Linked DNA regions of Macaca mulatta. The protein of the gene in region 2 interacts with the protein of the main gene of each other region in a biochemical or structural test. Links are inferred from orthologs where the notes say so. Each region holds a gene or a part of one and is shown on either strand. Other genes may lie near its edges.

Region 1 (3,514 bases), on a different chromosome or scaffold from region 2:
TATCCGCACGTGTGCCTGAGTGCTGGGTGTATGTGTATATGTGTGTGTCTGTGTGTCTGTGTATGTATCTGTGTGCTGGGTGTGTGTGTCTGTGTATGTGTCTGCATGTGTGCCTGAGTGCTGGGTGTATGTGTATATGTGTGTGTCTGTGTATGTATCTGTGTGCTAGGTGTGTGTGTCTGTGTATGTGTCTGCACGTGTGCCTGAGTGCTGGGTGTATGTATACATGTGTGTGTCTGTGTGTATGTGTATATATCTGTGTGGTGGGTGTGTGTGTCTGTGTATGTATCTGCACGTGTGCCTGAGTGCTGGGTGTATGTGTATATGTGTGTGTATGTGTGTGTGTGTATGTATCTGTGTGCTAGGTGTGTCTGTGTATGTGTCTGCATGTGTGCCTGTGTGCTGAGTGTGTGTTGACCTACGGGAATTGCTCCTTGTCCAGAGAGCCTCAGATGAGCCTGTGCTGGGTGACCGGGGGAGAAGGTTTCCCTCCAGCACAGCACCACGTCTCTCCTCCCTTCTGCCACTCACCTCGGAGAACATGGGCAGTTTTTTGGCAAAGTCCACCACACGGGTGATGGCCGGGGTGATGATCTTGGTAAACTCGCTGAAGGCTTCCAGGTCCACCTTGTCTCCGTCCGGCATGGAGACGATGGGTGACTGGCCAATGTCATCGGGCTAGAGAGAAAGACAGGGGTCAGCTGGGGCTGCAGACCCCTTTCAGCCTCTCACTGAGGCTGCCTGCCCACCAGGGGGAGCTCCAAGGCAGCTTGGGGAAGAAGGGCCGCAAGTGCCTGAGTCCCAGCCCCAAAGCTTTTCCTTCACCTTGAGCAGAGGATAGACCAGAGCCAGAGTCAGCTAATAATAACAATGGTAACAACAGTAGTAGCAGCTATAATGACTAAATACTTAATATATGATCAGGCATCAGGCTACATGTTTTACATGTCTTATTTCATCCTGACCGTAATCCTAAAAGGAATAATTATAATAATCACCATTTCACAGATGTGGAAACTAAGGCACGGGGCAGCTAAGTAATAAGGTTAAAGTCATATGACCAGCAAGTGGTAGGACCAGGGTTTGAACTTGGGCAGTCTGACTGCTGACTGTTATACATCTGCTTGGAATCAGAGCCCGTGCCCTTAACAGTGCACTGTGCCACCCTCTGGCATGCTCCACCATGAACCAGGAGCTGGTTTTCTGCCTTCCTTCACCACACAGAGTCAACTGTCCATCTCCTCCCAAACCGACCACTTTTTTTTTGAGAGAGGGTCTTGCTCTGTTGCCTGGGCTGGAGTGCAGTGGTATAATCATGGCTTACTGCAGCCTCGACCTCCTGGGCTTAGGGGACCCTCCTGCCTCAGCCTCCCGAGTACCTGGGACCACAGGCACACACCACCATGCCCAGCTAATTTTAAAATTATCTGTAGAGAGGCTGAGCACAGTAGTTCACACTTGTAATCCCAGCACTTTGGGAGGCCAAGGCAGGCAGATTACCTGAGGTTGGGAGTTCCAGACAAGCCTGACCAACATAGAGAAATACCATCTCTACTAAAAATACAAAATTAGCCAGGCATGGTGGCGCATGCCTGTAATCCCAGCTATTTGGGAAGTTGAGGCAGAAGAATCGCTTGAAGCTGGGAGGTAGAGGTTGCGGCAAACCAAGATTGCGCCACTGCATTTCAGCCTGGGCAACAAGAGCAAAACTCCATCTCAAAAAAAAAAAAAAAAAAATTATTCGTAGAGGCTAGGCATGGTGGCTCACACCTTGTAATCTCAGCACTTTGGGAGGCCAAGGCAGGCAGATCACTTGAGATCAGGAGTTCAAGACCGGCCTGGCCAACATGGTGAAACCCTGTCTCTACTAAAAATACAAAAATTAGCCAGACATGGTGGCGGCTGCCTGTAATCCCAGCTACTCAGGAGACTAAGGTGGCAGAATCGCTGAACCCAGGAAGCAGAGGTTGCGGTGAGCCGAGATCATGCCACTGCACTCTAGCCTGGGTGAGAGTGAGACTCCATACCAAAAAAAAAAAAAATTATTCATAGAGGTGGGATCTCTGTATGTTACCCAGATGAACTCCTGGGCTCAAGCGATCCTCCCACCTTGGTCTCACAAATTGCTGGGATTACAGGCACGAGCCATTGCATCTGGTCCTGAACTAATCATTTACTTAGCCACTAGCTTGACCAGGGCCTAACACAATGCCTGGCACCCAGCAGGCACTCAAAAATACTGTGACATAACTGTATCCTTACCCTCTCCTCCCAGTCACTAGGGGCAGGAAAAAGAAGCAAGGTCACCCTTGCTCCTTGGAAATTCAATGAGGAAGGCAAGGCCCTGTCCTCATGGAGCTCCCAATTGGATGGAGTAGACAGGGTCCAGACAGCAAGGACACAAACGCAAGTGTATAAAATCTGGACAGCAAAAGTGGGAAGAGTATGTATTTTGGGTTGGATTACACTAAGAAGACTTCCTGGAGGAGACAGGACTCTGAGCTCACTCTCCTCTCCCTGCCACCTGGCTGCTGCTCTCCCCATGCCCCCTTTCTCCTTACCAGGAATTTCCGCCTCTGTTTCCAATGGCTGCCCTGGGCATTGGTGCTGCGATGGGCCTCTGTGGCAATGTGGATCAGATCCCACTCTTCAGGAGTGGGTTCTGGTCGCTGCTGCAGTGATCGGATCATCTCCTCCTTCCGCCGCCGCTCCCGGTTCTGCTCAATCAGCTTACGCTTGGCCACCCGCTTCGAGTCATCTAGAACCACTGTCAACAGATAGGCACAAGGTCCGATGCATGGCACCCTCCATCCCCTTTCCATAATGCTCCCGGAAACTATTCTTCCTAGAGTACAGGTTAGGGAAACCGAGGGCCATGGAGGCTAAGTGACTTCCCAAATCACCTAGCAGTTGGGCAGCACAACCTGGATCATGATTAATCCCCGGGACCATGTCAATAACAGTTTGGGCTGATCCAGATGAATATCATGTTCTGGTCTATCGGGTTATGGTGATGGTGGTTACTCCAAGATCCTGCCACCCAATCCCCAGCCAATGGAAAATGCCCTGTCTCATCTAGGAGTGGGGTGCCTTCGCTGGGAGTCAAGAACAATGTGCTAGAGTGGGTGCCCAGGAGCTCTTTCTACCAAACAACTCCTCTAAGGCCCTCGAGTGTTGTAAGGCAGGTAGGCACTGGGGCCCACACAGGGATCCTGTTTCCTTTGACGCAGGAAGAAGGGCAGCAGGAACCAAGACACTGAACCTTCTGCCCTCAGCCTGACCTAGACTGGATTGCCACTCTGCCCTGTGGGCCCTGAGGGCACGCTGGAAGGGAGCTGCCCTCCTGAAACTCATCCCCACCCCAGGCCACCTGGCTCTATTCCCCCCACCCGGGCCCCTTACAGTCCATGGCCATGCCCACGGCGATGCACTTCTTGAAGCGGCACAGCTGGCACTGATTTCGGGTGATCTTGTCAATGACACAGCAGCTGTCATATTTGCAGGAATAAGTGGG
Region 2 (4,211 bases):
GGATGAAGGGTGGGCCATTTAAAGGCGACAGGTGTGATGTTCATATTGATTTTCTGGATTTTACTTTTCAAAGAGTCTGGAAAGAAGATTTGAACAGCTCAGACGGGATTTCTACTGATAACCCCCTGGGATGGTTTGACTCTGCCCTTCATTTAGCCCTTCAGTTCCTCTATCCTTGAAGCTTCTGGACCCGAGTCTCTCCATTGCTTAGGAGAGAGAGCCATTTGCTTTGGCAGCTGGGCAGTTCTGTAATGACAGACAGCCACCCAGGCCAGCAGCAGAGGCAAACGTCCTCACCCGATAAGACCGCTTATGCAGTGGCAGAGGAAAAGAAGATTCTTTCAGCCTTTTCTAGTTAATGCATTTCTCTGGCAGTATTACTATGTTTCCAAGAGGAGAGGGAGAGAAGGCCAGTGTGAGCCAATGTCCTCAATTCGGGAGAGCAAACTGCAGTTCCTTCAGAGGCCAAAATAAACTGCAGGACACCGAGTCATTCATAGCAGTGCAGTGGTTGGGCCCCAACAACCACAAACCAGTAGTTCAGCCCCAGGGGCCCTAAATTCTTCGGTCCACATCAGATACTCTGGAGGGAGAGACAGGTATTTTCTAGCCAGCCCCCAGGCTTGAGGCAGAGGCAGATGTCATACTCCACAGGACAGTCACCGAGTGACACCTGGAACACTGTCAGGAACCCCTCCTAGCATTACCGTTTTGAAAGCACAAGCAAGAGCCCCATGTCTGGGCAGAATCTTCCAGGCTGTATCACAAAGCTGGCTCCCTCCCACCTGACTCATTTTTCCACCGATTTTCTATGAACCTATGACAAGGGGAAGAAACTAATCATAAAACCTGATCATAAAACCCTTCCTATGCTTGAAGACAGCGATTACATATTCACTCAGCCAAGGTCTCCCTGCATCATTTAAAACAAAAGAGAGTCTCCATTCACGCTCTTCCCACACTGCCAGGAAACGTATTCCTGGGACCAGCGCTGACCATCCCAAAAGTTGCTATTTCCCTCAGTTGAGGGCGAAGTTAGCAAATCCGTAGCTGCAAGTCTCAACTTGGGGGAGGGGGCGACAGCCAGGGCGTAGGGAGAGCGGCGCGGAGGAGGGACTAGAGGGAAGGACACTGCCCCTTACTCCATCGAGGTCGTCGCCTAAGCCAGAGGAGCCGCCAGTTTGGGCTCTGGGAGGAAGGCGGGGAGGGAGTGGCGGCCGCGGTGGAGCGGCGTGGGCTCCGCAACAGCGGCTCGGTGCCAGGCTCGGTACCTGGCAGGCCGGGCGCGCCTCGCAGGCCGCCTGGGGCGCGGAGGGTGTGAGCGCGCGCGCCCCCTCCGTGCCCGCTCAGCCTCGCGCGCGTCTCGGGGGAGGCTCCGCCGAGAGGCGCCCAGGGAGCCCGCAACCTCAGTCCTGCTGCCGGAGGAGCTTTGTGCGGCGGCGGCTCCGAGTCCCACCTGCTGGCGGCGGAGAGACAAGGAAGGGGAAGAAGGAGGAGGAGGGGAAAGAGGCGGCGGCGCCAGCCCACTCCTCTCGCCGGCGCCCACTCCCGGGGGCTCCGCAGCCCCCAGCTCTCGGCCTGCACCGGCCCTCCGCCCCCGGCCCGGCCCAACCTCCCGGCCACACAGCGGCAGCCGCCGCTGCAGCCCCCAGACCTGCCCGGCGGGGCCCGGCCCGGCCCGGCCGCCGCCGCCGCCGCCGCCGCCCGGAGCCGCCGGCGAGTTTGAGGGGAGCGCTGGGCGCACGGCGCCGCCTCGATGTGCCCGGGAGCCGCCTCGGCGCCCCAGCTCCGCTGAACAGCCCCGGCGCGGCTACCCAAGAGGACGAGCGAGGAGGCGCGGCGAGCCCCGGAGAAAGGGAGCCAGCGAGAGAGAGCGAGCCCAAGAGCGAGCGCAGGGAGCGACACCATGCCCGGCTGGAAGAAGAATATCCCCATCTGCTTGCAGGCAGAGGAGCAGGAGAGAGGTGAGCTAGGCGGCGGGGCCGGGGAGGGAGGGAAGGGGTCCGGGCTGGGGCCGCCCGGTGCCTCCCTCTCCCCGGCTCCCTCCCGACCCGTCCACCCGCCAACGGGGGAGGGGCGCCGCTCCTTCAGGGCCCGCGGGCGAATCCAGGTGGCGTCTTGCGAACTCTGATTCTTTTTTTTGTTGGTTTGTTTGTTTTTTTTGGTGGGGGGGGTGGGTTGGGGCGGGCTGGAGGGGCAGGGGGAGAGGGGTGGTGCTGCAGCAGGGAACTTTTCGCTTGGGGAAAGATTTTTTTCTGGCGAGGATGTAGGGGAAACTCCAGCTTCTGCAGGGCCCGCTCGCACGTGGAGCTCCGAGCCGCCGTCTGTGGGGTGGGTGCTTGGGGGTGATGGTGGACAGGGAGGGGGGTTCCTGCAGTGCTTTAAGTGACTTTTCAAACTTTCCTCCACCTCCTGCGGCCACCCTCGCGCTGTCCCCGACTCTGGCTGGGCTGCGACGGCATTGTCAACCCAAAGTTGCTGGAGATTCATAAAGAAGGAGGAGGAGGAGAAGGAAAAGCGTGGGGGAGGCAAGGGGGGCGCTGCCGCAGGTCTGTGGAGGGGGAGAGAAGAGGGAAAAGGTTGTCCCCTCGCTCAGGGTCTGGGGCTGGGAGTGACTGCTTGGAGATGAGTTATGCCCCAGCGCAGTCCCCTCTGTCAGTTTAATACCGCAGGACTGCGGGCTTTTCGTAATTACTGTCTATTTTCTTTGCAAAAGGCGGCTCTCTGTGCCTGGTGCCTTGCAGACCTTTTGTGCTTCAGCTTGACAAGTGTGCTGTACACTTTGCTTTTAAGTGACTTGCGGAGAGGAAAGTTGAAGAGCCTTTTGCACCTTAAAGGTTTGGTTCTGTTGAGGTCATTTCATGGTGTTTGGATTGTGCAGAGGTTGGCCAGGGAGTTCAGCTTGGTAACCTGGATATGATGTACTGAGTGCACCAGAATTTCCCATACAGGCCCCATGGGGCTAGAGGGGTGTGTGCACGGTGGCTCTGCTAGCATCCAGAGGAACGCTGGCTGGCAAGGTCCACCAGGGTTTATCCCTTTGCTTCTTCTACCCTGTCCTGTCCTGGCTTCGAGGAAGGTGCTTTAGAATTGGATAGGTTTCAGGATGCAGGGGCTGCATGGGCTGTGGCAAACAGCCAGTGCTGAGGTTAAGTGGCGCAGCGTGGGTACGTGGGCGAGGAAAGCAGGAGGAGGCCAGTCTGGTGTGTGGAGAAGGCAGAGTTGTCAAGGGGGTTTAATCCAGCAGTTTGGTGAGCTGGTATGGATGGTGGCTTGGTTATTGGGCATACTAAAAGTTTCAAGCGTTTGAATAACACTTACTACTGAAGAACCAATGTACAATTTCCAGTTTTTCTCTAGGTGGCACAACCTGTCTTTGGTTTGTATCCTGTTTAATGACTCAGGGAATTCATCCCTTTTTAAGCACTTCCTTATTAGATATGTGCATTCATTTTCCAGCACACTTTCTGGCAGGTGACCTTACGTTTACCCATTCAAAAGGCACCCCTGCTTTGGGAATGCTTCTGCTTCTCCCTTTAGTAAATCATATCTTTAAACTTGCAAATAGCAGTACCAATAATTTATAACCAGGTAAAAGCACTACATGAAAGCATTCTGCCAAGCATGGAGTGACTGTCCTATCAACTAAATGTCACAATGTACTTGGCATTAAATGTATCAGTTTGCTTAAAAAAAATCACCATACTTCCGACAAGTTTTATCAGAATGCCGAAGTGGGTAGATTTTCGGATTGTGACAAAATGTACTTGTATGTCTTTTGGAAATATATGGTAACATTGAAAGATGATTGTCTAATCTGCTTGGTGGAGATAAGACTGAAATTCCTCAGAGCATAAAAATCTGAGTAAGAAATTGAGTGTTCTGCCTTATCTCCCCCAATAGGAGAAAACAGGAAATGTTTCTTACTTTTTGCTTTTTTTCACTTTAAAGGTTTCTTCTTTCTCACTTTAGTTATGAGATGCTTTTCTAAATAATTAGTATTTATTTTTGTTTGTTTGGTTGTAGCATTTCTTTTTGAAGTCCTGCTTCTTTTGGAATGGACAAATATATGATTTTGTTTCTTTCACAATTTCCTGTCCAACTGGTGTTTTTGTTTCAATCGTGTGTGTGTGTGTATATATATACACACACACATATATATACATATATTAAATATATATTTAAATAAACTGAGCTGCCTATGTGACTTT
Region 3 (3,514 bases), on a different chromosome or scaffold from region 2:
GCATGGGCCGCTCCTTAGCCAGGCTCCATGCCCCTGCCCACCAGGGCTCTGGGCGCTCTGGGCTGGTGTCACTGGAGTGGAAGCAGGGGCACGTACCGTTGGGTGTGGCGAACTGGATGAGGACGCTGTTGCAGCCCAGGGTGATGATGAAGGACTGCTTGCCCACGCGGCTACACTCTGTCTCTCGGGACACCGAGCACTTAAAGACACACACATCTTCATCTATGAGAGAAGATAGGCTGGCGTGAGCAGTACAGCCCTGTCGGCTGCCTTCTTTTGATCCCGGGTCCCTGACGCCCTCCTGCTGCCTGCCGTTGGTGCCCCCAGATTCTTCCAGAGTGCCACAAAACCACCCTGGCAGCAATGCCGGGTGCGCTGCCTGCCCAGCCCACACTGAGGACAAGGGAGCGGCTGATCAGACAGCAGGGATACAGTCTGTGTCCTCAGGATGACCAGGGCTGAGACAGGGAGACGGTGAACGCTGAGGTGGGCAGACAGGGCCACCAGGCACGGTGCCAACCCACAGGGCCTCAGAGCTGGAGCTGCCTCTGCTCCACTCGGCTGAGCCCTTCTGTTCTTGGATGGGTGCAGTGCAGTGACTGCATGGGGCCAGTGTAGCCAGACCACCGGGTTCACACCCCACCCATGCCATTTGTTCACTGTGACACAGGCAGGTCCCTCAGCCTCTCTGGAACTCGGGTTCTCACCGTCAGATGGGGCTAATGGCAGGGCAGTTGTCTAGTGAATCATGACACTGTCTCCCTGTACCCATCATGATAGCTGTTACTAGTCATTCATTCCACAAACCTGTGGTCACTCCACTCCAGCCAAATGGTGAAACTTAGCGATGCCAGGAACGGGCCGGCCCAATCAGGCACTGTGCCCCTGCCTGCCACACTACAGTGGGACAGGTGCATCATCTGTAGTATTCTTGGCAAAAATGTTTGACCTAGTCCCATCTTCAAGGGACAACAGAAAACGACAGGTTGTTGGGCAGGCTACAGGACAACCAGGCTGGTCTCCTCAAACAGGCCAGTGTCAGGAAAGACCAAAACGGTGGGAGCTATTCCAGAGTACAGGAGACAAGAAAGGGGGGAGTGCCCAATGCGATGCAAAGTGGGACCCTGGGCTGAAGCCGCAAGAAAAATGTTTTAAAAAGTTATAAAGGACAACTGGGGAGACCGGACCCACACCTCTAATCCCAGCACTTTGGGAGGCCAAGGCAGGAGGATCACTTGAACCCAGGAGTTGGAGATCAGACTGGGCAGCATAGCAAGACCCTGTCTACAAAAAAATTTTAAAATTAGGCAAGCGTGGTGGCGTGTGCCTGTTGTCTTAGGGACTCAGGAGGCCGAGATGGAAGGATCACTTGAGCCTGGGAGGTTGAGACTGCAATGAGCCATGACTGTGCCACTGCATTCCAGCCTGGGTGACAGAGCAAGACCCTGTCTCAAAAAAATAAATAAAGGACAACTGGGGAGCCGGACAGAGTAGCCCCCACCTGTGGTCCCAGCTACTTGGGAGGCTGAGGTGGGAGGATTGCTTGAGCCCAGGAGGTTGAGGCTGCAGTGAGCTATGATGATGCCATGGTACTCTATCTAGTCTAGGCAACAGAAGTGAGATCCTACTTAAAAAAAAAAAAAAAAAAAAAAGACAACTAGGAAAATGTGAGTGTGGAATACATATGCCATAATTTTAAGTTACTTGGATGTGACAATGGCATTGCGGTTTTGTAGAGAAATGCCTTTGTTCTTAGAAAACATATGTGGAAGGATTTATGGCAAATTCCCATGACATCAGCAGCTTGCTTTTCAATAGCCCATCACAACAACAACGTGAGTGCAAATGTGGCAAAAGTGTTCCCAATCACCCTGAATAGCCAAAACAATCTTGAAAAAGAATGAAGCTGGAGGATTCCCATGTCTCAATTTCAAATTTTACTATGAAGGTACAGTAATGTAAACAGTGTAGTGGTACTGGCAAAAGAATGGAGACACAGATCAATGGAACAGAATCAGAGTCCAGAAATAAACCCTTACACTTATCCTCAATTGATTTTTGACAAAGATTCCAAGAACATTCAATGGGGAAAGAATAGTGCCTTCAATAAACACTGCTAAGAAAACTGGATAACCACAGAGAAAAGAATGAAGTTAAACTCCTACCTCACACCATAGACAAATAAAACAGAACTCAAATGGAGCAATGACCTAAACATAAGAGCTAAAACTAGAAAACTCTTAGGAGAACTATTTGCAAATCATCTATTGCTAAGTATTTAGTGTCCAGAATATATAAAAAAACTCTTTTAGGGTCAGGCCTGGTGGCTAACACCTGTAATCCCAGCATTGTGGGAGGCGGGCAGATCACTAGAACCCAGGAGTTTAAGACCAGCCTGGGCAACATGGTGAAATCCTGTCTCTACTAAAAATATATACATATTAAGTCAGGTGTAGTGGCGTGTGCCTATAGTCCCAACTACTTGGGAGGCTGAGGTGGGAGAATCACCTGAGCCCAGGAAGTTGACACTGCAGCGAGCGGAGATGGCAACACTGCACTCTGGACTGGGTGACAAGAATAAGACCCTGTCTCAAAAAAAAAAAAAAAAAAAGGTTGGGCACGGTGGCTCACACCTGTAATCCCAGCACTTTGGGAGGCCAAGGTGGGTGGATCACAAGGTCAGGAGATTGAGATCATCCTGGCTAACACGGTGAAATCCTGTCTCTACTAAAAATACAAAAAAAAAATAAAATAAAATAAAATAAAATAAAATTGGCTGGGCACGGTGGCTTATGCCTGTAATCCCAGCACTTTGGGAGGTCAAGGCAGGCGGATCACGAGATCGAGACCATCCTGGCTAACATGGTGAAACCCTGTCTCTACTAAAAATACAAAAAATTAGCTGGGTGTGGTGCGGGTGCCTGTAGTCCCAGCTACTCGGGAGGCTGAGGCAGGAGAATCACTTGAACCTGGGAGGCGGAGCTTGCAGTGAGCCGAGAGCACGCCACTGCACTCCAGTCTGGGTGACAAAGCGAGACTCTGTCTCAAAACAAACAAACAAAAAAGCAAAAACAAACAAAAAATTAGCCAGGCATGGTGGCAGGCACCTGTAGTCCCAGTTACTCAGAAGGCTGAGGCAGGAGAATGGCATGAACCCAAGAGGTGGAGCTTGCAGTGAGCGAAGATCACGCCACTGCACTGCAGCCTGGGCAACAGAGCAAGACTCCATCTCAAAAAAATAAAAATAAAAATAAAAATAAAACAACAATTTTTTTTTTTTTGAGACGGAGTCTTACTCTGTCACCTAGGCTGGAGTGCTGTTGCCGGATCTCTCTCAGCTCACTGCAAGCTCCGCCTCCCGGGTTTACGCCATTCTCCTGCCTCAGCCTCCCGAGTAGCTGGGACTACAGGCATCCGCCACCTCGCCCGGCTAGTTTTTTTTTTTGTATTTTTTTAGTGGAGACGGGGTTTCACCGTGTGAGCCAGGATGGTCTCGATCTCCTGACCTCGTGAT

The links. The genes of interacting proteins can lie anywhere in the genome.
Region 1: the proteins of GRIP1 (region 2) and THRA form a complex in vitro, tested with the Homo sapiens proteins (2 studies listed by BioGRID). The link is inferred for Macaca mulatta from reciprocal best matches to the Homo sapiens genes GRIP1 and THRA.
Region 3: the proteins of GRIP1 (region 2) and CARM1 form a complex in vitro, tested with the Homo sapiens proteins (2 studies listed by BioGRID). The link is inferred for Macaca mulatta from reciprocal best matches to the Homo sapiens genes GRIP1 and CARM1.

What each region holds. Positions count from the first base shown.
Region 1 is NC_133421.1:64,442,603-64,446,116, reverse strand, and holds part of THRA (thyroid hormone receptor alpha), read right to left. Parts: coding exon 3,403-3,514; intron 2,768-3,402; coding exon 2,562-2,767; intron 679-2,561; coding exon 532-678; intron 1-531.
Region 2 is NC_133416.1:74,200,310-74,204,520, reverse strand, and holds the start of GRIP1 (glutamate receptor-interacting protein 1), read left to right. Parts: upstream 1-1,408; 5' UTR 1,409-1,906; coding exon 1,907-1,964; intron 1,965-4,211. UniProt on the Homo sapiens protein: May play a role as a localized scaffold for the assembly of a multiprotein signaling complex and as mediator of the trafficking of its binding partners at specific subcellular location in neurons.
Region 3 is NC_133424.1:11,639,859-11,643,372, reverse strand, and holds part of CARM1 (histone-arginine methyltransferase CARM1), read right to left. Parts: intron 223-3,514; coding exon 97-222; intron 1-96. UniProt on the Homo sapiens protein: Methylates (mono- and asymmetric dimethylation) the guanidino nitrogens of arginyl residues in several proteins involved in DNA packaging, transcription regulation, pre-mRNA splicing, and mRNA stability.